Linked DNA regions of Oreochromis niloticus. Each later gene encodes a partner of the first gene's protein in a complex. Links are inferred from orthologs where the notes say so. Each region holds a gene or a part of one and is shown on either strand. Other genes may lie near its edges. The genes, in order: pak4 and limk1a.

What was found.
Region 2: the proteins of pak4 (region 1) and limk1a are in contact, whole or in part, in a crystal structure (PDB 6WLY), measured with the Homo sapiens proteins. The link is inferred for Oreochromis niloticus from reciprocal best matches to the Homo sapiens genes PAK4 and LIMK1. Residues at the interface, in NP_001014831.1 of Homo sapiens: Glu329, Gly330, Ser331, Gln358, Arg359, Leu362, Thr404, Asp440, Lys442, Ser443, Asp444, Phe461, Leu475, Val476, Gly477, Thr478, Pro479, Tyr480, Trp481, Met482, Glu507, Phe516, Pro520; in NP_002305.1 of Homo sapiens: Lys505, Arg506, Tyr507, Thr508, Val509, Val510, Gly511.

What each region holds. Positions count from the first base shown.
Region 1 is NC_031979.2:34,927,462-34,938,597, reverse strand, and holds the start of pak4 (serine/threonine-protein kinase PAK 4), read right to left. Parts: upstream 5,145-11,136; 5' UTR 4,299-5,144; intron 1-4,298. UniProt on the Homo sapiens protein: Serine/threonine-protein kinase that plays a role in a variety of different signaling pathways including cytoskeleton regulation, cell adhesion turnover, cell migration, growth, proliferation or cell survival.
Region 2 is NC_031979.2:19,908,540-19,918,890, reverse strand, and holds the start of limk1a (LIM domain kinase 1a), read left to right. Parts: upstream 1-5,632; 5' UTR 5,633-5,825; coding exon 5,826-5,883; intron 5,884-8,391; coding exon 8,392-8,491; intron 8,492-10,351. Other genes in the region: elna (elastin), read left to right, coding at 1,621-1,689, 1,781-1,827. UniProt on the Homo sapiens protein: Serine/threonine-protein kinase that plays an essential role in the regulation of actin filament dynamics. Acts downstream of several Rho family GTPase signal transduction pathways.

The DNA.
Region 1 (11,136 bases):
GAAGGACTGAAGGGCTCCACTTTATATTGGCTGTCATAAAAGTCAATAAACAAATTAAATTCAGTAATTATTAAATAATAAACAGCAATCATAAATTTCCAGGGCCCAAAGTGACGTGTTCAATTTACTAGTTTGATCAACAGTTAAAGAGATTTTCTTTGGGGGGGGGGGGTTGTTTAGGCTTTAATTGCTGTTGGTGGTGGTGACTAATCAACTTCACGGCTATTTATCAGTAAAGAAAGTTAATTTCCTACTTTTAAAAATTTTAATTGATTACAACTATTCAAAGGCTCAGAAGTTCATTTTTTCACCTCAAGTCATCACACAGGATCAGAACTAAATGAAAAAGGAAAAACGTGCATCACAGACTCTAGTCAAATGTAATGTCAGACAGCCGTCATGTCTTCAAACTTTCATACCTGGAAACATAGTGGCTGCAACTTTGTGATCTCAAACTTTTTTGAAATAGACATCCTGTTGCCCTTTACTCAGACCACACCAGAAAATTGTTTCTTTTTTTTCCTTTCAACACCATCAGTTTCTTTCTCGATAACAAATCACCACACACACCTCATGCTCCTGCCTGTTATTGCCCTTTTGCCTCCAGCCATCACCTTGTACATCGCTGTGAAAGCTGTTTGGACTTCACAGAAGAAGCCTGAACAGCAGCTGCGTTCGGGCCCTTCTGGTCAGTTCGCATCAAAGCAATGACAACATCCCTCCTGCCAGCAGCTCTGTCTCCTGCTGGACACATCTGTCAACAGTCATCTGTGATTTCTGATCATTTCCACCTTCATGGCTCGCCTCCTCTGCTGTGATTCACCTAAAAACTGGCCGAAAATCAAGAAAAACTCTTAAATCTGCTTGGAGTGAATCCTTCAAACTCAGTAGATTTTAGGTACTGCAGCTTTATAAATATGATCAAAGAAAATACAGAAACTGCAGAGGAATTTGAAAAAAGTAGCATATAGCAAGTGATCAGATATATTTTTGAATGCCTCTTCTTTACTGCTAAATACAGTTAGAAGCAAAAAATCTTTAGCCCCATTGTGTATTAGGTTTATTGGCATAAATTCAGTGTCCAGCAGGCTTATCACCAAAGCCCACACTGCACACTGAAATAGCTGCCAAATGGGCCTTTATTATGGAAGAAGTTTGTCTAGCTTTGTCTAGTAAATTCTGCATAAAACAGCACCTCAAAGTTCGTAACTATAAGTACACTTCTTTCTAACTGCCTTAGTCAAGTCCCGCCACAGCTTTTCCATATTAATGGTTCAGACAGCCACTATCTAGGACTTCCTCTGAAACCTAAAGCCAATATTCTGAGGTATGCTTGGGTCACTGTACTACTACTGAAAGGTCCATCAATGCTTGCGCATCAGCGTCCTCACTGACAGCAATACATTTTGGCGACCGTGGCTCAGGAGATTGGGAAGCTCATCTGTAACCGGAAGGTTGCCAGTTCGATCCCCCTGCTCTCTCTGTCCTGGTCGTTGTGTCCTTGGGCAAGACACTTTACCCTACCGCCTACTGGTGTTGGCCAGAGGGGCCGATGGCGCGATATGGCAGCCTCGCTTCTGTCAGTCTACCCCAGGGCAGCTGTGGCTACAACTGTAGCTTGCCTCCACCAGTGTGTGAATGTGAGAGTGAATGAATAGTGGAACTGTAAAGCGTTTTGGGTGCTTAGAAAAGCGCTATATAAATGCAATCCATTATCATTATTATTATTTTCTTCCAGGATTTCTGATACTTTATTTACTACATGTTGCCAGTTGTACTTTGTAGACTTTTGCATTACATGAGGAATCAAAGAAGTCTCTGACATCACTGAGCCACCATCATGCATTACTATAGGTCAGTTCATTCTTCCTTCTCCAGACACATTTCTGACCCATAGGCCAAAAGTTCTAGTTTTGTTTTGTCCCCCCCCCCCCCCCCAAAAGATCTGTGCCATCATTTCAATCATCATCAGTAATGAGTCACAGCACTTCGATAAATCATATGACCTTGGGAATAAATTCAGGAACAGGTTTCATTTCAGCCAGTGAAACTGCTAGTCAGTGACTGAAACTGGCAGGGCTCTCTTAGGTTTGGCCCTGTTACATAGTGCCAGCAGGCAAATGACAGGAAATGAAGGAAAGATGGATGCAGCAAAGGTTCCCAACAGACTTCTACCCGCAGACATTGTGGTTTATTGTTGTCTGAGCCAAAGGAAATTATTATGAAGTAGTAAAATTAAAGTTAAAAAGTGTTGTTAAATGTCTTTATCCTGCCAGGTAGCATAATAAGTTTCCTGCCAGCAAGCAGAATAAACACCAAGCAGCATCTTTTGGGACCAGTTTTGATTATTTATACTGGGATGAGGGCTTTTTGAGCAACCTCCAGGGTACCACAAAACCCCCTCTTTTACCCTACAGGGAGAGCCAACTGGAGCCTCCTTTCAGGAGGAGAATAAAGTATAATACTGATATCCTACTTTAAGGAAAAACAAACAAAAACCAAACAGCAGCATACACTTAATGCTCCTTTCCCAACAGACTCTCTATATGCCCCTTGTCTGCCACACAAAGTCGTTTATTTTTCCACTTGTTGATTGTCTGCTGCTTCTATGACCTGCGTGGATTTGGTTTATCTGGTCCAAATATGTCAGTGAGGATGACTGTTTAACCTGCCAGCCTGTTTTTCCTGTTTGATTACCTTGGTTGGCTCCTCGTTTTTCCACCACAGAGCAGACAATTCCAATGTTTCTACAACTACCAGCAGACAGAAGAAGATGCTTTTTATTAAAGCTGTTCTGGAAACCCGAAAAAGTAAACAGAACTTAAACATTTTCTGCTAGAAAAGCTAATTACTTTCTTTCACCTGTCCTTTTGGCTTAGGTTTGTATAATTTTAAATTATCAGGTACCTAACAAGGTATTTTAAAACCATGTTATCTTAACACTGTTAGATTCATATTCAGCACATATGCTGTGTTTTTTGTTCACAATGAACAATCACTCAAAGAAAACACACACATTTCCAATTTTTTTCCAGTAAACTTGCCATTTGTTTCTTTCAGATTCAGTTGAGGTTGTTGTAATTTAGCAGAACAAATGCCATCCATAAGTTGCATTTTCCCAAAGAGATATTAGTCAGTTAGCTACTATCTAACAAAAATATAACTTTTCAATATGGCTGTACTGATTGTGAAATTCTGAGCTGATACTGTCAAAAGAATTTGGCCTAAATCCTATCCTCATGTATCCATAGTTTATTTAAATGTACTTTTCTTGTTATCTGTTCCCACTTCTGTGCTATAAACACTAACATCTTTTTAAAAGACTTTCACCTTTTCATCACACTGCCTTTGAACTCTCCAGCAGATAAACTTAACTGTTTATCTTACTTACTAGTAGATGGATATCAGCTGTCTTGCAGCTGCATCCCATCTCGCAACTTAACACGTGAATATTGCTGATGAATATTTTGCCATACATGATGTAGATGTTCCCGCTGCTGTTTGGGAATGGTGCATATGTGAGAGAGACGAGTGACCCCTTCATACAGCTTCTCTGGAATCCCAGGAATGTATGGTGTGCCCAGCACCAACCGCACGACCTTACAAACACAAACCCCCCCCCCCTTCCTCTCACTGCACACTCACGAAGCACAACACAAATGCAATCCATAACATGACATCCGCCAGCCAAGAGGAAAAGAAGTGGGAGGGGAAAAAAGAAACTAAAAAGGAGAATTCATTCATGCACGAGAGAGAGAGGGAGCAGCTTAATATCCTCTTTTCCTGCTTTAGCCTGCCCACACAAACAATTCAGTCCTCCTTCACAGGTGAAAACGGAAGTTCACCGTGATCGTGATTATCAGGAACCAGCTGAACTTATCAGAAAGCAGACTGGCAGACTCAGCGTTACCAGAACTCGTTTGTCTCCTGGGTGTGCAAATGAGCCATCCTGTGAGCGTATGAGATCTTAGCAAAGGAAGACAGTCTGAACCTAAAGTTAGCTTCACATTTTTATTGTTTAACAACTTTCACAAGTGGCCCTCAGATTTTTGATTTCACAGTTCAGACACGATTCACTCTAGTCTACGCTTTGAGTGATTCATGAGCTAACACACAAACACAAGGAGAGCAGACTGAAGGAGGCTGCTCCGGTATCCTCACACCCGGACTGGCCGGACCGACCGGAGCGCAGCTAACGCTAGCCTCCGTTAGCGGCTCAGCGGGGAGCGGAGACGCGCCACAAGCTAACCCACAGCACGGTCCGGTAACCGAAGTCAGAGCCACGCGGGGATACTCACCAGGGATGTCCCAGGAAAACTTTTTCTGCCGACCCCGCGACGTACTTGGAAACTTTCCAAAAATCAGAAGGGCGGGAGCGGACTAACTTCAGGGCAAACTGTGTGATATTAGCCGAAGTCTTACTTTCCCGACGCCATGTTGAACAGAGGAAACTGGAACATCCGGGAAACTGAAACCAATCTCCATGGAAACCGAGTTAGCAACGGGCTACCGGGAGACGACTCTTCTTCGGCTTTTTTTTCTTCTTCTTTGTGGTTGGTAAACATTACCGCCCACCGGTAGACTAATACTGTACCTTCCTCCCAGCTGTTTCTTACATTTGTAGTGCACGTATTATTTATTAATGCAATTCACACTACTCTCTTTTACCATCTCAGTCTCACTTTTTACTTTACTTTAACTTAACCTAATTTTTTTATTCTTTCTTTTCTTTGTTTTTTAATCACAGTGGAAAATGTTTACATATAACAATCTCACAGGCCGTCACTATGCGCCTGTGGCACTTTAACTTTGTTCTTTATTTATTGTAGACTGCACTATTTTTATTCTTTATCCCGCTGTTGTAACACAATAAATTTCCCTTGTGGGATTATTATGTTCACATATGGCTTCTTCTTTGCATGACAAAGATTTGTCTGCACTCTCCATATAATCTTACATCCAGCTGCTTTAAAATCACCAGCTAACCTAACATGCATGTCTTTGGACTGTTTGAGGAAGCTGGAGTAACTGAAGAGATCCCACAAGGGCACAGGGAGAACATCTAAACTCCACACAGAAAGGTCTCAGCCAACCCGGGAATTTGAACCTTTCAATAAACCCCATTGCTAACTACTTCAGAATGCTTTCCATAACAGAACTATTTAGGTTTATATCTTGAGAGTTAATGTAAGTTTAAAACAAGAGAAACAAACCAAAAAATAAATTTTTTAGAAGAAATGTATTGATCTCATGGCAGTAGAGTGTTTTTTAATGTTACAGTGACTAAACACAGTGGTACAAAAAAGTCTGTTTTACAAATGTAGCCAATCGTCATATTTGCGGGACTGATGGATTCTCATACAGGGGCACCTCCAGAATTTTTTCATAGGGGGCCACTAAAAATACTGGGATGCCACACCAAAAACAGAATTTCCAGTTTTACCATGCTGTCATCAAATATATTTTTTTGGGGGGGGGGGGCTAGTTTTGTTTTGTTTTTTTAATCTACCATGTCGAAGCAATGCAGGCACACATACGTACATGCATTAATATGTAGAATATGCAGTAAATTCCTATAAAACAGAGACATTTCAATCAATAAGAGGGACAAACAACTTCACTATGAGCTCATATGGTAGGTTTTATCTTAACTTTAGTAAATAAAACTGCGGCAAGTAGGGTTGGTTAATGATTCACCAGGAGAGATGGGAACAGAAGTTGCTGATACAGGGCCAGGCTCCTATTGTGTGATGCAGAGGTGGTGATGGATAGGTGGGACTACAGCCTTGAGAACAGCTATTTGGATGCAATTCGACTTTCTGTGCCAGATAAAGTTGGAGCTCATGGATCATAGCGACGTCACTCCTCGGTATAAGTTCAGGGACAAGTCATCGCCTTGCTGCTGTTGCTCCTGTAGGAGATGAGGAAAGCAAGGAAGGTGGGCGAAGAGATAGGAATGAGGTAGCTGCACAGTGAGGAGTGCAGATATCTGACAGTCCGCAGGTGGTGGTGATCATCCAGAAGAAGCTCGGGGCAACAGAGGGAAAGTTCAGGGTTAGTTCGGAGGAGCTAAAGTAAATGCTAAACTTTCACAAAGAAAAACTGTTTTTCTCTGTGGAGGTTTAGCACCGCACTGCAGTGAGAACAGCCCAGACAAGCTTTGTCTGAACCAGAATATCCTCACCTTATCCCAGAATAACACATCTGCATACTCTGGGGATCTGTGAATTCACCATTTTCATCACAGCTGGTTCAGAGCTGCTCACGAGTTTGTTAAAGGGGACTGCAACAGTATGCTTACCATCCAGAAAAAAACACCCCAGTGATGCCAAGCAGCACCGCAGTGCAGTGAGAACGACCCAGAGAAGGTGTCTCTGTTTGGATGAAGAGGAATTAAAACTGTATAAACAACCATATTCATTAATCTGCCACTGAAAGCCCTGATTTTGCTATGTTGCCATCTGAAGACAGAGACTTTTAAAAAACAAATTAAGCTTTGGTTATCCTCGCATCTGTGATACAAAAAAAAGCTCTTTGTATTAATCAGTGTTTGGCAACAACAGGGGAGGAGATACTGAGGACAAATCTCATGTCTGGTAATGTGCAGTACAACACACTGACAAACATGTAAAATATATTTAATTTTGGTCAACATACACTCATCATAATATGTTCTGTGAAAAAAGTAACATTAAAGTTCCCATTGCTTGTATTTTTAGTCTTTGTGGGTCAGCAGCTCTGTGTTCATTGTTTCCTGGCTAATGAATCAATACACTGCACTGTAATTATTATTAATATTATTTTTCCCACAAAAATACTGTAAAAAATATCAGAAATGTACAATAATAATCAATTTTTTGTGGTATTTAAAAAAATAAAATCATCTTAATTAAAATACAGATGTTTTAAAGTTACATGAAAAAAATGTCTGTTTTTACAGATTTCTTTTTTCGAATAAAGATGTTTAAATCTGTATAAACAACAATATTACCTAATAATAAGTTCAAATACTCACCAAGTAATTAATCCAATTAGAACAGGAGAAAAGTACTGTTGAATTTTACTTCGTACGTTCTGCAATTTTGTATTTTTAGTCCATTCATAATGTGAAAAAATGATTTACTACACAAATAAACCAGTTTGTTAAACTAGTAACTGGGTTTACATTTTTTTTTTTAAATAATTAAAAAATTACAGATCTTTTCTAGCACATACTGACTGATCATATTTGATTCCACATAAAATCTTAAGTCTATTTAGTTGATATGATAAGAGTGAAATATTCCATGAACCATGTAAACTCCTGTTTACTGTGCTTTCAGCCTGAGCAACTGTTTTATTTTGTAAATCTAGATACTGCTCCATATTTGTGGGACAGCAGCAAGTTATTAGTTTCCTTGTATGTGATGATCTCATCAGTATTTCCTGTGCTGCTACAGATGAAACTACACAACAGGGTAAATTACATTATGATAGCTTGACCTCAACCAGCAACATCAGTGAAGCAGAACTCAATAAAAATGATTAAATAATGTATAATAATCCTGTGATAGACTGGCCAGCTGTCCAGAGTGTACTCCGCCTCTCACCCTGTGACAGGCTCCACCGTCACTCTGATCTGGATGAGAATTAATGAATGAATGAATGAATGGATGGATGGATGGAAGAACATATTTTTCTGCAGTATCACTTTCAACTTTAGCTATTTCTTTCAACTAAAGAAAAATGTAAATCCATAATGTAAGTAAATTTTTACTTAACATTGAGAATTAATTGCAACTTTTAAAAACATTTGTAATCTTGTTTAAAAACAAGCAAACGGCTCCATTACGTCATTAACCACATTTCCCTCATCACTGTAAAAGCCAGGATATTACCTCAGTGTCTTTGCAGTTTGATCTGCACAACACTGACCTCTAGTGATCAAATGCACACACTGCTCTGTCAAGCTTTGCTCTGTGGCGTCCTCGTCACGGTGAGAGGTTTTCAAAAAGGCCTGATGAGTGAGGAGACAGTTTTCTTTTTGTTCCTCACACACTGATGGAGTAATGTCATTGTTAGTTTCAGAAATGATAAAAATAATAATGAAATTTGTGAACTAAACTGTGAAGTTTTATTTTATTCTCAAAGATGTACGTTTCTGTGTATGTTTTATTATTGAACAGCAAATTTTCATATGACGCATTTACCAGATTTCTTCTGCCAATACTAAGTGCATACACCTCTTCTGTTCCAGGTTTCATTGTCTGGAGATGAAGCTATCACGTCCCCCCTTATTTTCTGTCATATATTTACTGTTACAGTAGTTGGTGCTCATATTAAATGTCCCTGAAACCTAAACACACGGAGCTGGAAATGAGCAGGAAAGGTCACCTTTGAGAGTTTCTCTCGGTGGAAACATCTTCCCATTTAGATAGTCTTGCTTACTGTATTAATATGTTGAGAAAAACCTACATTAATCTCTTAACCTGCTAACCTCTAATGACAATCAGCTGATTATAACTTTACTTGCAGCTTTAGGAGAAAGTTATATAACTAGAGGTTTCATTGAGCGAGAGTTTGATCATTTATTTCTGCAGTGGAAGCAAATTTGTTACATTTCAAATAGCAGCTTTTTTGTCCCATTGCAAATTTGGATCAATACTTTGCTTCTTTTCTGGTGGTTCTCCAGCTTATTTACAGGCTTTGTTTGTCCTGGGAGACGTGTGTGTTTGCTGAGCATGCTCCTCTTTTCCAGCTTTGCTTCTGCATGTATAGATAAATCTATATTTACTATTTTTTTATACAGAGAAATCACATTTGTCCTTTAAAATTCCTGCTTTTCCTCTCATTGTGGTTTCTGACTCTTAGGGAAAACATATAGTTAATCAGATCTCGGCTGTAAGTGTTTTATAAACTGAGAACAGATGGTTTTCTCATGTTTCACTGCATTAAAGAAGTGTGGAGTAAAGGCACCAACATCTGAGGGACTACAGGTTGGACTCTGTGACTAAAATGTGAAGCTGCTCAAACAGCTTTCCTAAATGAATCCACAGCTCAGCAGTTTGTCGAGCCGCCTCGCTGGTTTACATCCTCTTATGAGGTAATGAAAGCCCTGAATGGATGGTACAAAGCAGGACTTCATCATCCTTCCAGTGTTCACTGGGCATCTAATTACTTTAACAGGGGGTCAAACGTATTGGACAAAAATGAAATGTAAAACGTAGTCTGGCCTGCTTCATAGCACGTCACAAATTTCAGGTTTGGCTGCCTGTAGACTGTAATTGAAAAACCAAAAAATCAGACATTTATTGTTGTCATTTGTACTCTGAAAAATGCCTGTGAGCTAAAACAGAAATAAAGGCGGTATTCTGGTGGTTTGGGCACTATTGTCATGGTGTAAAAGTTCAAAAGATTTTTAAAGATAAGAAAAGTAACAATCAAAAGTAAAAATACAGCATGAAACAAACACTGAAAGCAAACAAGGAACAAAAAATGCAAATCCACATACATCCAAAGTAAATACTGCAAAAGATAAAACATTCAGAATGCTCCTGAAATATTTCTTTAAACTCCAAACCTTTTATTGAGTTCAAAAAGCATCTTGGGACCTTTTCAAATGTTTTTTGTTGTTGTTGCATCTCAGAAAGCCTGGAGATCTGTTCCTCAACAAAGTCTGGCTACTTGGAGGCAAAATATAAAGAAATGATGAATGAGCATAATACTGTACCTACAGCATATATATCAAAACAAAGAGCAGAAAAATTGATTTCTGACACTAATGGAATATTTTGAGGTGATATTTTTAAATATTTAAATAAATAGAAAATATGCCCCAATGAAGCACAATTAAAAAACACAACTGGAACTGAGAATTATGTATTTGTTAAATGTTTTATCTGCCTACACACACGTATGAGCTTCAGTGACATCCCATTATTAATCCATAGGGTTTCATATGATATCAGCAGACCCTTTACAGCTATAACAACTTTAACTCTTCTGTGAAGTCTTTCCACAAGGTTAAGAAGTGTTTATGGGAATTCTGACCATTCTTCCAGAAGTGTATTTGTGACACTGATGCTGGACGAGAAGGCCTGGCTGTCAGTATTCACCCTAATTCATCCAAAAGCCGTTCAGGTTGAGATCAGGACTCTGTGCAGGCCAGTCAAGTTCTTCCACACCAAACTCGCTCATCCATGTCTTTATGGACCTTGCTTTGTGCACTGGTGCACAGTCATGTTGGAACAGGGTCCATCCCCAAACTGTTCCCACAAAGCTGGGAGCATGAAGTTGTCCAAATGTCTCAACAAACAAACAACTCCAAACAACTCCACACCATAATCCGTCTCTACTGCTCAGCCACTGAAACCCATCACATTACTATGCACTGTTCTTGAGCTGATCTGAAGCCACATGAAGTTTGGAGTTCTGTAACGATTGACTCTGTAGAAAGTTGGCGACCTCTCCGGACCATGCGCTCCCAGCATCCACTGACCCGACTCTGTAATTTTCTGTGGCCTCCCACTTCATGGCTGAGCTGCTGTCATTCCCAGTTGCTTCTACTTTGTTATAATACCACTAACAGCTGATGGTGGAATATTTAGTAGCAAGGAAAGTTCAGGACTGAACTTGCTCCACAAATGGCATCCTCTCACAGTAACATGCTGGAATTCACTGAGCTCCTGAGAGCAACTCATTCAAATGTTTGTAGAAACAGTCTGCATGCCTCGGTGCTTGATTTTATACACTTGTGGCCCTGGAAGTGGTTTTCAACACCTGAAGTCAATGGTTTGGATTAATGAGTGAATACTTTTGATAATAAAGTGTTGTTAGAAGCTCCAGATTTAGAAATAACACGAGAAGAGTGTGATGTTTGCTGTATCCTGTGAAATACTCTTGTAGTGAAATAGCTGACCTGTGTGTTTATCAGTGTAATTCTGTTATCTCATGTTTCACTTCCTAAAACACGGCCTCTCCTGCACTTAGAAAGTTTAAGAACGATGACAGACACCAATCAGCCAATTGCTTTTAGTCTATTTTGGAGAATATTATGAAGTGCACAGTTCCTGTGGATTAAAACTGCCATAAATGAATGATGAATGTCTACTCTTACATTTTTTTTTCCCATGTGGCCTGCTGTTTCAGGAGCACGGA
Region 2 (10,351 bases), about 15 Mb from region 1:
CTGTTGGCGGGAAGAAAATGTTCTTGTGTCTTGAGGTGTAGGTCCTAATGGTCTGCAACCCGCTGCCAGAGGCAAGTGACTTAAAAAGCCCCTGTGGGAGGGGTCAGCAGCAACCTCTTTTACCCACATCAGGATCCTAGAAGTAAAGATTCCAGCCAGTCGCCTTCTCAGTAGAGCAGACGACATGGTGCAATCAGCCTTTGTGTTCGGCAGGAACATATATGGTGGTGATAGAGATGTCATGAATCACAAGATGATGCCTCAAATGCAGACTCACTGAGAGGCAGACATAAACAAAAAGTGAACCTTAATTCAATCTGATTTCAAAGTCTGATAGATGGTGGAAACAAAAAAGGGACACAAAGAGGACAACAGATGCTGAGACAAAGACTGAAGGGGAGACAAAACTACACAAGAGAGTAACTAGGAGAAGTGGATAACAAGATGCAGGTGAAGATAATCAAAGACAGTTACACAGGAGGAGAAGTAAAACTATACTCAAGAAACAGACGGGTATCTATCAAAATAAAACAAGAAGTAAGAATCATAACTAAACGGGGGAACGCAGACATGTGAATGATCTTAACACAGTAAGAAAAGGATAAGACGGGAAACACCGAGGAAACAACTGAAACTTTAAGACTAAAGACTAACGGTGAGCATGGAGTAGAACAGATTTTCAATATCCCCACTGTAGGCAGACTTATCTGTGATGAGCCCGATTGAGGTGGTGTCATCTGTTAACTTCATAAGGTTGACAGACTGGTAACTGGAGGTGGAGCTGTTGGTAGGCAAGAAGAAAATGAGGGGAGAAAGTACGTAGCCTGTAGGGGAACTGGTGCTGCTGGTCTGAGACATGCATGCATTTTCATGTCATGCCATTCACATGACCAGTGAGGGTTTTCACATCCTTCCTTGGGCCGGTGAATAGTGCAGCAGTCCACAATGATGTGACAAAATGATCTTTACTAAATAAGTGTGCCTTTTGGCAGCCATCCTAAAAAGTACTTCACAGTCACCAGGACTCAAAAACTTCAAATGTAGAAGTTTATTATAAATATTATTCATCTCATCTTGGTGGTGTTGATTAGATTAAGATAAAGTTATTATCCAGTATATCAGCAGCTGTCTATCATATATCACCTACCTTATTGATATAACTTGCTGAGCAGGTCTGCAGTAAAAACTTCACTAGTAAATCCATCTACAGTTTAATTTCCAGCACCCGTGTTTGGAGGCAAGTGCCTCCTGCCTTAAACGGCTTACAGGGCTGCGGCTTGTGTTGCTTACTGGAAACGTGAACTTTTATAAGACATGCTGAGAAAAAGACAAGTTCTTAAACATTTATGCACTAGAAGAACGTTTTGTTTAAAGGAAATTAATCATATTGTGTTCTTTTTTATTTGAAAGTATCAAATTTTACACACAAAGTTTTTCCTTGTATTAATAGAAACAAAAACCACAAAAAGGCCAAGAGAACAGTTGAATATTCAAATACATGCGTGGAAAATAGAGTGACAGATTTGCCCAGTGGCCAGTCAGGTAATCTTCTGGCTAACATTAAGCCCAGTACCATCAGACTGGAAACATAATAACCAATACTGTTTTGTTGTTTTGCAGCCAAAGCAGCAAAGTACGGTCCTCTGCAGGGCTTCCTTGGTGGAGGAGGCGGCGGAGGAATCTATAGAGGTAAAAGATTTGCGCACATTGTTGAAGAAGCATCCTGAAAACAGAAGTTGCTGCTAAGCAAAGACTAAAATGTTGCCGGTGTTTGCTGCAGGTGGTGTTGCAGGATGCCAGGGCAAATACTGTGGGAGGAGGAAGTAGAGGATCTCCCGAGATCCAGTGACCTCAAGAAACCATGGTGCTACTGCATGATCGAGAATGTACATTTTATATGCAAAGCCCCATTAGACAACCTGTAAAGATGTTTGTTCTTACTTACTTGACTTCAGTGTCTGTTTTTACACAAACCCACCGACCCAGAATTTTGTACATGTGCTGATGTGACGTATGTTATTGACAGTGCCTTTAATCATTAACATGTTCAAGTTAACCAGCTTTAATTCTGTACCGCACCGGCCCACCATGTGTCGCTGCGTCCGTGCACGCACGCCTGCACGTGTGTGTATCGTTTGTTTGAAACTGTCTGTACCATCGGCTGTCAATGTGACCCACAAGTGATTTCCCTTTCTGCTTTAATCCTAAACTAAATCAAGGTGATCCGTCTCACTGGGCAGCACAGGGCTCATCTACTCCTCTCCAACCTGTCACAGGGGTGGGGTTGGTCATAGCTAGGCCGAAATCTGATGATATCCAGCCAATGTCAGTGTGGTTCCTGGCTCCCCATTTTCTCTGCTGCCATTTTTAGGCCTGCTGGGTATAAAGCGGTGGTAACTGGGGCTCCGGCCAACCCATCTGCTCTCGGCAACTTTGCTGATTCTTGTTGCTGTGCAGTTCAGTTTTCTCAGCTTTTTTTTTTTTGTTAAATGTTGCCAAACACTTTCTGCTGAAGACAGTCAAAAAGCAGTGTGTTCAAATATCAATCAGACTCTGCTCTGGTATGTACGCGACGTGTATGTGCGTGTGTGTTTCATTATGTGTCGTGTTTAAGTCTGCTTCAAATGTTTAGTCTCATTTACATTTATGTAACTGGTCATTATTCAAGATTTGTTGCACCATGATTTGACTCATAGCTTTTTTGTTATCAGGAATGTGTGAGCATTAAAAAAAACAATCCTTTGCTTTTGCATTTATTCACTGTTATTAACTGTAATACAGATTAATACTTTGTTTTAATGGGAGTGCCGCTGTGTTTATGTGAGGCACAAAATCCCTGTTCTTTATTTACTTGAGCTGCTTTAAAAAAAAACAAAACCAAAGGCTTTACTGACCAAAGGTTCATGAGCGCTGTTGCCAAGTGACCCCCATCTCTTCCCGTAACTGTGTACTGTATTTTGTACTAATTTGATGGCTTCAGTTCCTTCACTCGGTGCTGTGTAAGAACTGTCTTTGAGCCTCGCTGGGTCAGACCTTGTCTTATGTGGCGTGGGATACTCTTCATCTTTATTTAAAACTGTTTTTATAAGGAGGAACAGTGTGGTTTTGCACTTTTTATGTTTCCACGGCACACATGTGACTTGTTCCCGGACATCCGGCATTTTATTTGCTTTAACAAATAACAAAATAAAATGTGTTTAAAGAACACGCGTCTTCTTATTCATTACTTCTTGCTGCCTGTCCTGAGGGCTGATCAAAATCACCTGGTGGGGAGTGTCGAATCAGTCCAACGCTGGAACAATAACCTGGGTTCAAGTCCTGCCTGTTTTAGAGCTTTTTTCATACGAGTTCTGTTATTGTTCCACTAGGAAAAATGAATCACTTATCAGATTTATTGTATGTGAAGGATTTTTTCTCTATAATAAAAACAAACCTCAGGTTAGATGCGAACACTTTGAGCTCTGTTCTTATTGTGCCAGCTGGAAGTAATGAACTCATACTGCTGTTCCCTGAAGATCTCCTGGGAGAGCCACTGACCCGTGATCCACATCCTGTAAAAGTAGCTTACACTGTTGTTCCAGGAGCAGAGGCTTTACTGCAGACATAAAACAATGTCACTGTGAAACTCTAGTCGAATTCTGTTTTTCTACAGCTGACAATTACACATTTCTGTAAATCTGTTTGCTTGATTTTCCTAGTATTAGTTAGCTTACTTAATTTCTAACAGGAAATAATGTGTTTGTGTTACTTTAGCCAACATGTAATAGGTGTAGGCAAACCCTTTGTACATACGTGTACTAAATCAGTTATCTGGCGACCTGCCACTGGGACAAACAGATCAAACCTCTGGCCCTGGCTTAGCTATCTCACTCCCATCTCCCCATACCGACACTCCTGACGCTGAACCAGTGCCACTGATTCTTCAGTTCATCATGTCCAAGCAATGATGATTTTTAGGCAAAAATATTTCAACTTGGTGCCCATTAATGCTATACTCACACATAGGAAAACAGTGTTTGGAGACTGCAGCACAAGCAAAATTATTGTGATTTGTGTGTTTTGAAGACGGAGACCGGGTATGCAACCTCCCGCAGTGAGCTGCCGTCTTCGTTACCATTTTATTGCTGTCTTTAGTGCGATAAGACTGAATCGGTCTGCTATGAATCTGCTGGCAATTACATGTTAATACTACAAACCTGATAATACAAACCTGTTGCCGTCTACATGTACATAAGGCATCCAGTTGAAGTGAGTCCCTTACTGCAAAGAGACGTGTTACAGAGGAGTTAGGTCATCCAGACTCACTCAGAGTTTTAAAAAAAAAATGGAAAAAAATCCATCCTCACCACCGCGTGGAGCAGGTGCAGAGCCGAAAAAATGTAAACATAGAAAAGAATTAACACGCACTGCAGAGCTCCAGCTTCCTTATTTACTGCATCTAGTCGTGTGTGACGTTTCGACTACGTCTGCTCTTCTTCAGATAATGAAACATAGGACGGCACCATCTTAAATCAGCTGTGATAGATCACATGACCATGACCCATGGCAATAATATCTAATCAGAACCATGTTTTATATAGGTCTCACTCAGATTTACTGCAATATGTTGATAGTCTGTCTGCATTTGAATTTGAGTTTGCCATTTTATGTCCACTCTAGTGTTACCTGCACCTCAACTCGCCTCCGTATTTGTTGTGTGAAATTGGCACTAATGTGGGTGTGGCTTTGTGTATGTGTGTTTCAGAATTGCTGTGAGACAGTGGCTGATTGGGTTGTTTTAACTGAAGCTAGTTACATTTGATTGCACTTACACTCTGGTCCTTTGATATTTCACACTGCAAACGCTGCTGTTTCACTTGTGGCTCTCTGTGCAGGTATGTTAAAAATTCCAGATTTAAGAAAGTTTAAATTAAAAATATTTTTTATGTCTGCATTCTGCTGTGGTTCTGTGTTTTGTACAATTAAAATTCAGAGATAATTCGGGTATATAATCACGCTGTACACACAGAATCCGTGTGTTACACTGAACCATAAAGGAAAATGGACGTGGTGACTGTGTTGCATTTAAGCAATGACTAAAAATCAGTAATTACCATTTTGTAATTTCTGAATTGTGCGCTCAGGCTTCCGTTTTGTGTCTGCTTTGCACTTTGCACAGCTAACTGATTTTATGGCTCCTAAATTAAGCCCCAGTTAATCTCATGAACAGCAAATTTCACGATTTAGACTTCTCTTAAACATTAAATAAAACCTCAGTTTTTATGCTGCTGACTACACTGCAGCTGCTTTCAGATTTGCCTTCATGGGTTTCAAACCAGCCAACCACTTCATTTTCTTTCCCTTCGTTCCAGCTTCTTTTTATGTTGCATCCTTTGTTTACTGCGATTGCACTTCGATGAGACACTTAACAGCTACTTCCAGCACCTCCACCCCTTTCGCCACTATCATGCATCAACGCGTTAATAGTTTACCTGCCTTTCTACAAGAGCGCGCTCTGTCTACTTGTAGTTACTATGGTGGCGTTTCTGCGCCGTCTACCCCCCTCCGTCCCTCCTCCACCAGACTTCATTAAGCAGGGCGTGTTTGTGGTTGGCCAGCCCCCTGTTTCCTCCGCACTGCTCGGCAGCTTCATTGGTCAGCGCCTCTCTTGAATGAAGCGCCGCAGAAACGTGCAGGCAGCGGGCAGAAGGAAGCTGTGTGGGCCGCCGCAGGGAGCGACCGACGCGCAGCGACACGACCCCCGGGCGCGTTGCGGTGTGTGTCGGTGAACACCGTTTATCCGTCGAGCAGAGGCAGTTGGCTCTCTCCCGGAGCTCCGCGTGTGAATGAGGTTGATGCTGCTCTGTTGCACCTGGAAGGACGAACGCATGGGAGAGGAGGAAGGTAAGGACCTGCGTGCTGGTTACGCGCTTCGGCTTTTGGGGCGGGCGATGCGGAGACGACGGCGCACTCCCTGCTCCTCGAAACGCAGAAGATGCTCCAACAGAAAAAAAGCTGCACACTGCGCCGTTTCTGTGTTTACTGTACAGAAATAGGTTCGTGTGCAGGGAGCGCCAGGCTGTGCCGCAGATGAAGCCATTCTTCGAGTGGATACGGCCAGCATGTTTGTATGCAACGTTCACCCTCAGGCCACCACCACCACACTCTTCATCTGCCGCCAGCCTTCTCCAATAATCCAGCATGCAGTGCTTATAAACAGGTTGTTACATGAGAAGTAACTGTCCTTTAAGAGCTTCCTTCATGCTGTGTGAAAAACACACAGAGGGCAGAGTTTCCTGTTGTGCCTGCACCAAACTAAGACTCCCACAGACTCCATGATTACCTTAGGTGTGTGACCGGTGTGGATTTAATCATATAAATCAGCCAGATAACCTTCTGATCTCATTATTAATGAAGCTGTTTTAATTGTATGTTTTTTTAATTCATTGTTTTCTGGATAGTGATTCAGGAATCTATGGCTCGAACAGCTGGTAAACCACATTGTTGATATATGTGTGTGTATTTTGGCATGTGGTGTGAGATAACTGTGCACACCGAGCTGTCAGTCAGCTTCACAGAGGTGAACAATGGACGTCCTATGTAAGGTTTCACTTTGCATTGCAGTGTGATTAGCTAATCTGGAAGTGTCTGCTTTAAGTCAGAGCGGGCGGGGGCGTACGCACCTGTACCTGCACAGGTTTTACAGTTTGTGCCAGAATGTAGGTGTGTTTCTGTTTGCTTTGGCTGCCCTTTCTGAAGTCAACAGGAGGAAAGACACCATGCAGAGAAATGCTCCACAATAAAAAATGCTAAAAAAAAGAAAAGATGGTAAAACAAAAGTGTTTAAAGAGAGAAGGCTGGAGGAGTGTAGAAGAAAAGCATTAGCACCAGACATCAGCACCCAAAGCTCTGCCAAAATGGCTTTCAGTTCACAGGATGGATGAATAATTGAAGCTGTTGTGCAGAGTTAAGTTTTATCAAGACTCTTCCACCAGTATCCAGATTTCATGTTGTGGCACTTTTGAATTTAACCTTGGTCAAAATTGGGCCTCTTTATAGCTGCTTTGTATGTGGAGAAGTACTCTTGTTACTTCTTGTTGAAATGCCGCGATGAAGAGGTGCCACGCTCGGCTGTTACTCTGAGGTGACAGTCGTGATGTTACTCTTGGGTGCACCGCAAGTTCAGGAGCTCAGCAGCGAGAGTAATGCGGGGGAACCTGAAGCAGTAGCATCTGTGCAGTCTTATTCTTTACAAATCAAAACAGCATCACCACGGATGAAATGCTTTCAACTGGCTGCCATGTTTGTGTTTGCTGTTACTCACTGAGTCTTGCCGTGTGACTTTTTTTTAGGCAAATTAACTCAGGCAACAAATGCATCTAACACAGCATAACGTCAGCCGCCGCCTCGCCCTTTGCACCAGATGAACTCTTACTGCAGGATAAATCGTCCCAACTCTGCCAAATTGCTTTTTTCCTGAAACTCTAATCATAATGAAGATTTTCCTCAGAGTTGGAATCTTTGATCTGCAGCTAATAAGATTCCTCTCATAGAAACGGCTCTTATCAGGAAAGAAGTAGAAGAAAGCCGATGGCTGGTTTAAATTCTGTTTAATTTACTTTTCTTTTCTGCGTTAGTTTGCATTTTGTAAGGAAAATGTAAAGTGTGCCTGCTAATAACACCATGTTATTTAAATATGCCCCAGTTAATCCCTGCCATCATTTTATGCATCATCTCAGCTTCTCTTTAGTTTCTTTGTGTTGTTTCCTGCTTTTACAACACGCACGGCTTTTGTACAGGTAAATTGTGGGGAAAAAACCCAAAACAACAACAAAAAATGGAAAGGTTGTGACTAGAAAAAAGGGATAAAACATCCAATTAAATGTAGGTTTGGAAAAATAAAATAAAAGCCTTATATTACTTTTCCAAACTGATCATAACTACCTTTGGAAACCTGGATGTTTTATGCCTTTTGGTCATAATATTTCCATTTTTCTCATTGCCAAAGTTTGAATATTATCCTATAATTCTAGGCAAAAAATTGTGTTTCTTTAAATGTTGTGATTTTTTTTAATAAACTAGAGTTTATCTACTAAACAGGGCGATGCAGCAAATTAGTGGTTTCGGGCCTGCTGAGCCGTATGCTCATTAAAAATGCCCCTTCAGATGGTACATCGTTTCTGCTCTGGTGGTAACGATGGAGGAGACGCTGTGTGGTGTGTTTGTTTGAGTTGTGTGTTTTTAGAGCTGGGTTATAAACCAGCAGTGATAATTTGCATAGCCAGATAAGCGACGGAGGTGGCACACAGACTGGCACGCAAACACACATCTCTTTGTAAGAACTGTTTATAACTTTATGTTTAATGAGCTTTAATATGGTGATATCAGCACGTCTGTCTCCTGTCATTACAGCAGGAGGAAGTTTGCCCGTGTGCGCGGGATGCAAACAGAGGATCTACGATGAGCAGTACCTCCAGGCCCTTAACAATGACTGGCATACCGTCTGCTTCAGGTACTTTCAGCACAAACAGCAAACCAGACTCGACATATAAACCCAGACTTTAAGAGCACACACGTCTTTAAGTCTCACTGAGTTTTTGGCCACTTGGGAACAACACTGAAATATCACAGTGCATCTTGCTTATTTATCCATCCTACAAGTCCGTCCAGGTAGAGCAAATACAGGTCAAAAGTTCACTGGCATTTACCGCTGTTCATGGAGTCGACCAATTTCCGAGGGGGAATTCTGCCTATCATTTAGCTGCTAAATGTTCCACTGTGTTCAACAGCCGGTTAGTAAGTGTCTGCTGAATGGTATATTACTGTGATTAATATATCGCTCATTATTACTGCTTTAAAGGACAGTGAAGGAGTGAGTGAGGTGAGTTAATGATTGCACATATAAGGCATAAAAGTACCCTAGAAAATAAAATAAAAATACCAAATATTTGCTGTTTTCAGTGTTTAAAGGTCCTGTGAGTCCACAGTCCAGCGAAAACCCTTTTTTTCTTAAAATACTGGCTCCACAGGAAAATAAAGGCTAAGTAGCAGCCGGATGTTGCTAATCACATCCACTGACTGTCTGATCAGTTTACAGGTCTGAAGCATTCAGTGCGTGTTAAAGAGCCCGACAGCATGGCTTAGGTTTGAAAAGTTTCATCTGAACAAACCACAAGGCTTCTGGAACAATGTCCTTTGGGCATGTTTGGCTGTAATGTACAAACACCTCATAGCAACAAACAGGCACGGTGGTGGAGGGTGATTATTTAGGCTTGTTTTCCAAGCATAGAACGTGGGCACCTATTAGTTATTAAGCTGATGATTAACTCCTCTGTTCACCAAAGTATTCTAGAGTCAAATATGAGGCCATCCATCCGACGGCTAAATACTGACGCAAACTGGGTCGTGCAACTGGTCAGTGATTCCAAACACAGCAGCAAAGTCCAGACCTAACTGAAATGTTGTGGCGGGACCTTAAGAGAGCTGTGCAAAAAAAATGCTTGCAAACTTCAATGAACGGATGTAATGTTGTAAAGAAGTGTGGGTCAAAATTCCTCCACAGAGATGTGAGAGACTGATAAAGTTATTGCTACTAAATGTAGTTTAATGAGCTAGTGAATCGTGGGGCATACTTATTTCTCACAGGACTGCAGAGAGTCTCGTGAGAAACTTTATTTTTCACATGACTGTGTGATTAAAAAAATGATCAGGTTGTTAGATAAAACAGTTTATTCATTTCACCTTGGGAAACTGTAAAAGAGATATTAAACAGGAGAAATAGCTGGGAGGTTATGTAACAAGTTTTAGCTGTAGTTTTTTGTGGTTTCAATGTAGGCTTTGTGCTGCAGTATTTCCTGGAAATAGCTGACATGACAGTGAAGCGCTACTGTTACAAACTCGTTCCCAGGCATGTCTGTGCCTGCTTGTGTGGGTTTTTTTTTTGAGGAGCCAAAATTCCCTGAAAACATTAAGTTTGCATGTTATTGCCCATAATCACATCTTGTTCCTTGTTTAATCTTTTCTTCACTGTAGTGCTAACACAAGTATCCTCCCCCCACCAGCTTTTCTAAGTAAATCTCCTTAAATCTGATCTGTCTTTTTCTCACAAGTGTTTCCTTTTTGTGGCTGAAGGTAAAGGTAAAGTTTCCGATTTTGCTGTGTTTTCTGGTACTTTTAGTTTTTGATGAATTCTGTAACAGACATAACCTAAAGTAGTCCTGGCTGCAGACCTGCGTCAGACAAGTGATAATGTTGAAACCTTCACATGATGCAGTAATGAAACTTTACAGGTGTGTAGCTGAGATCAAAATTAAAATTTGGAGTTTAAAGATGGGTGTGATCTAATTCACAAACACTGAGTAAAGGGCACCAG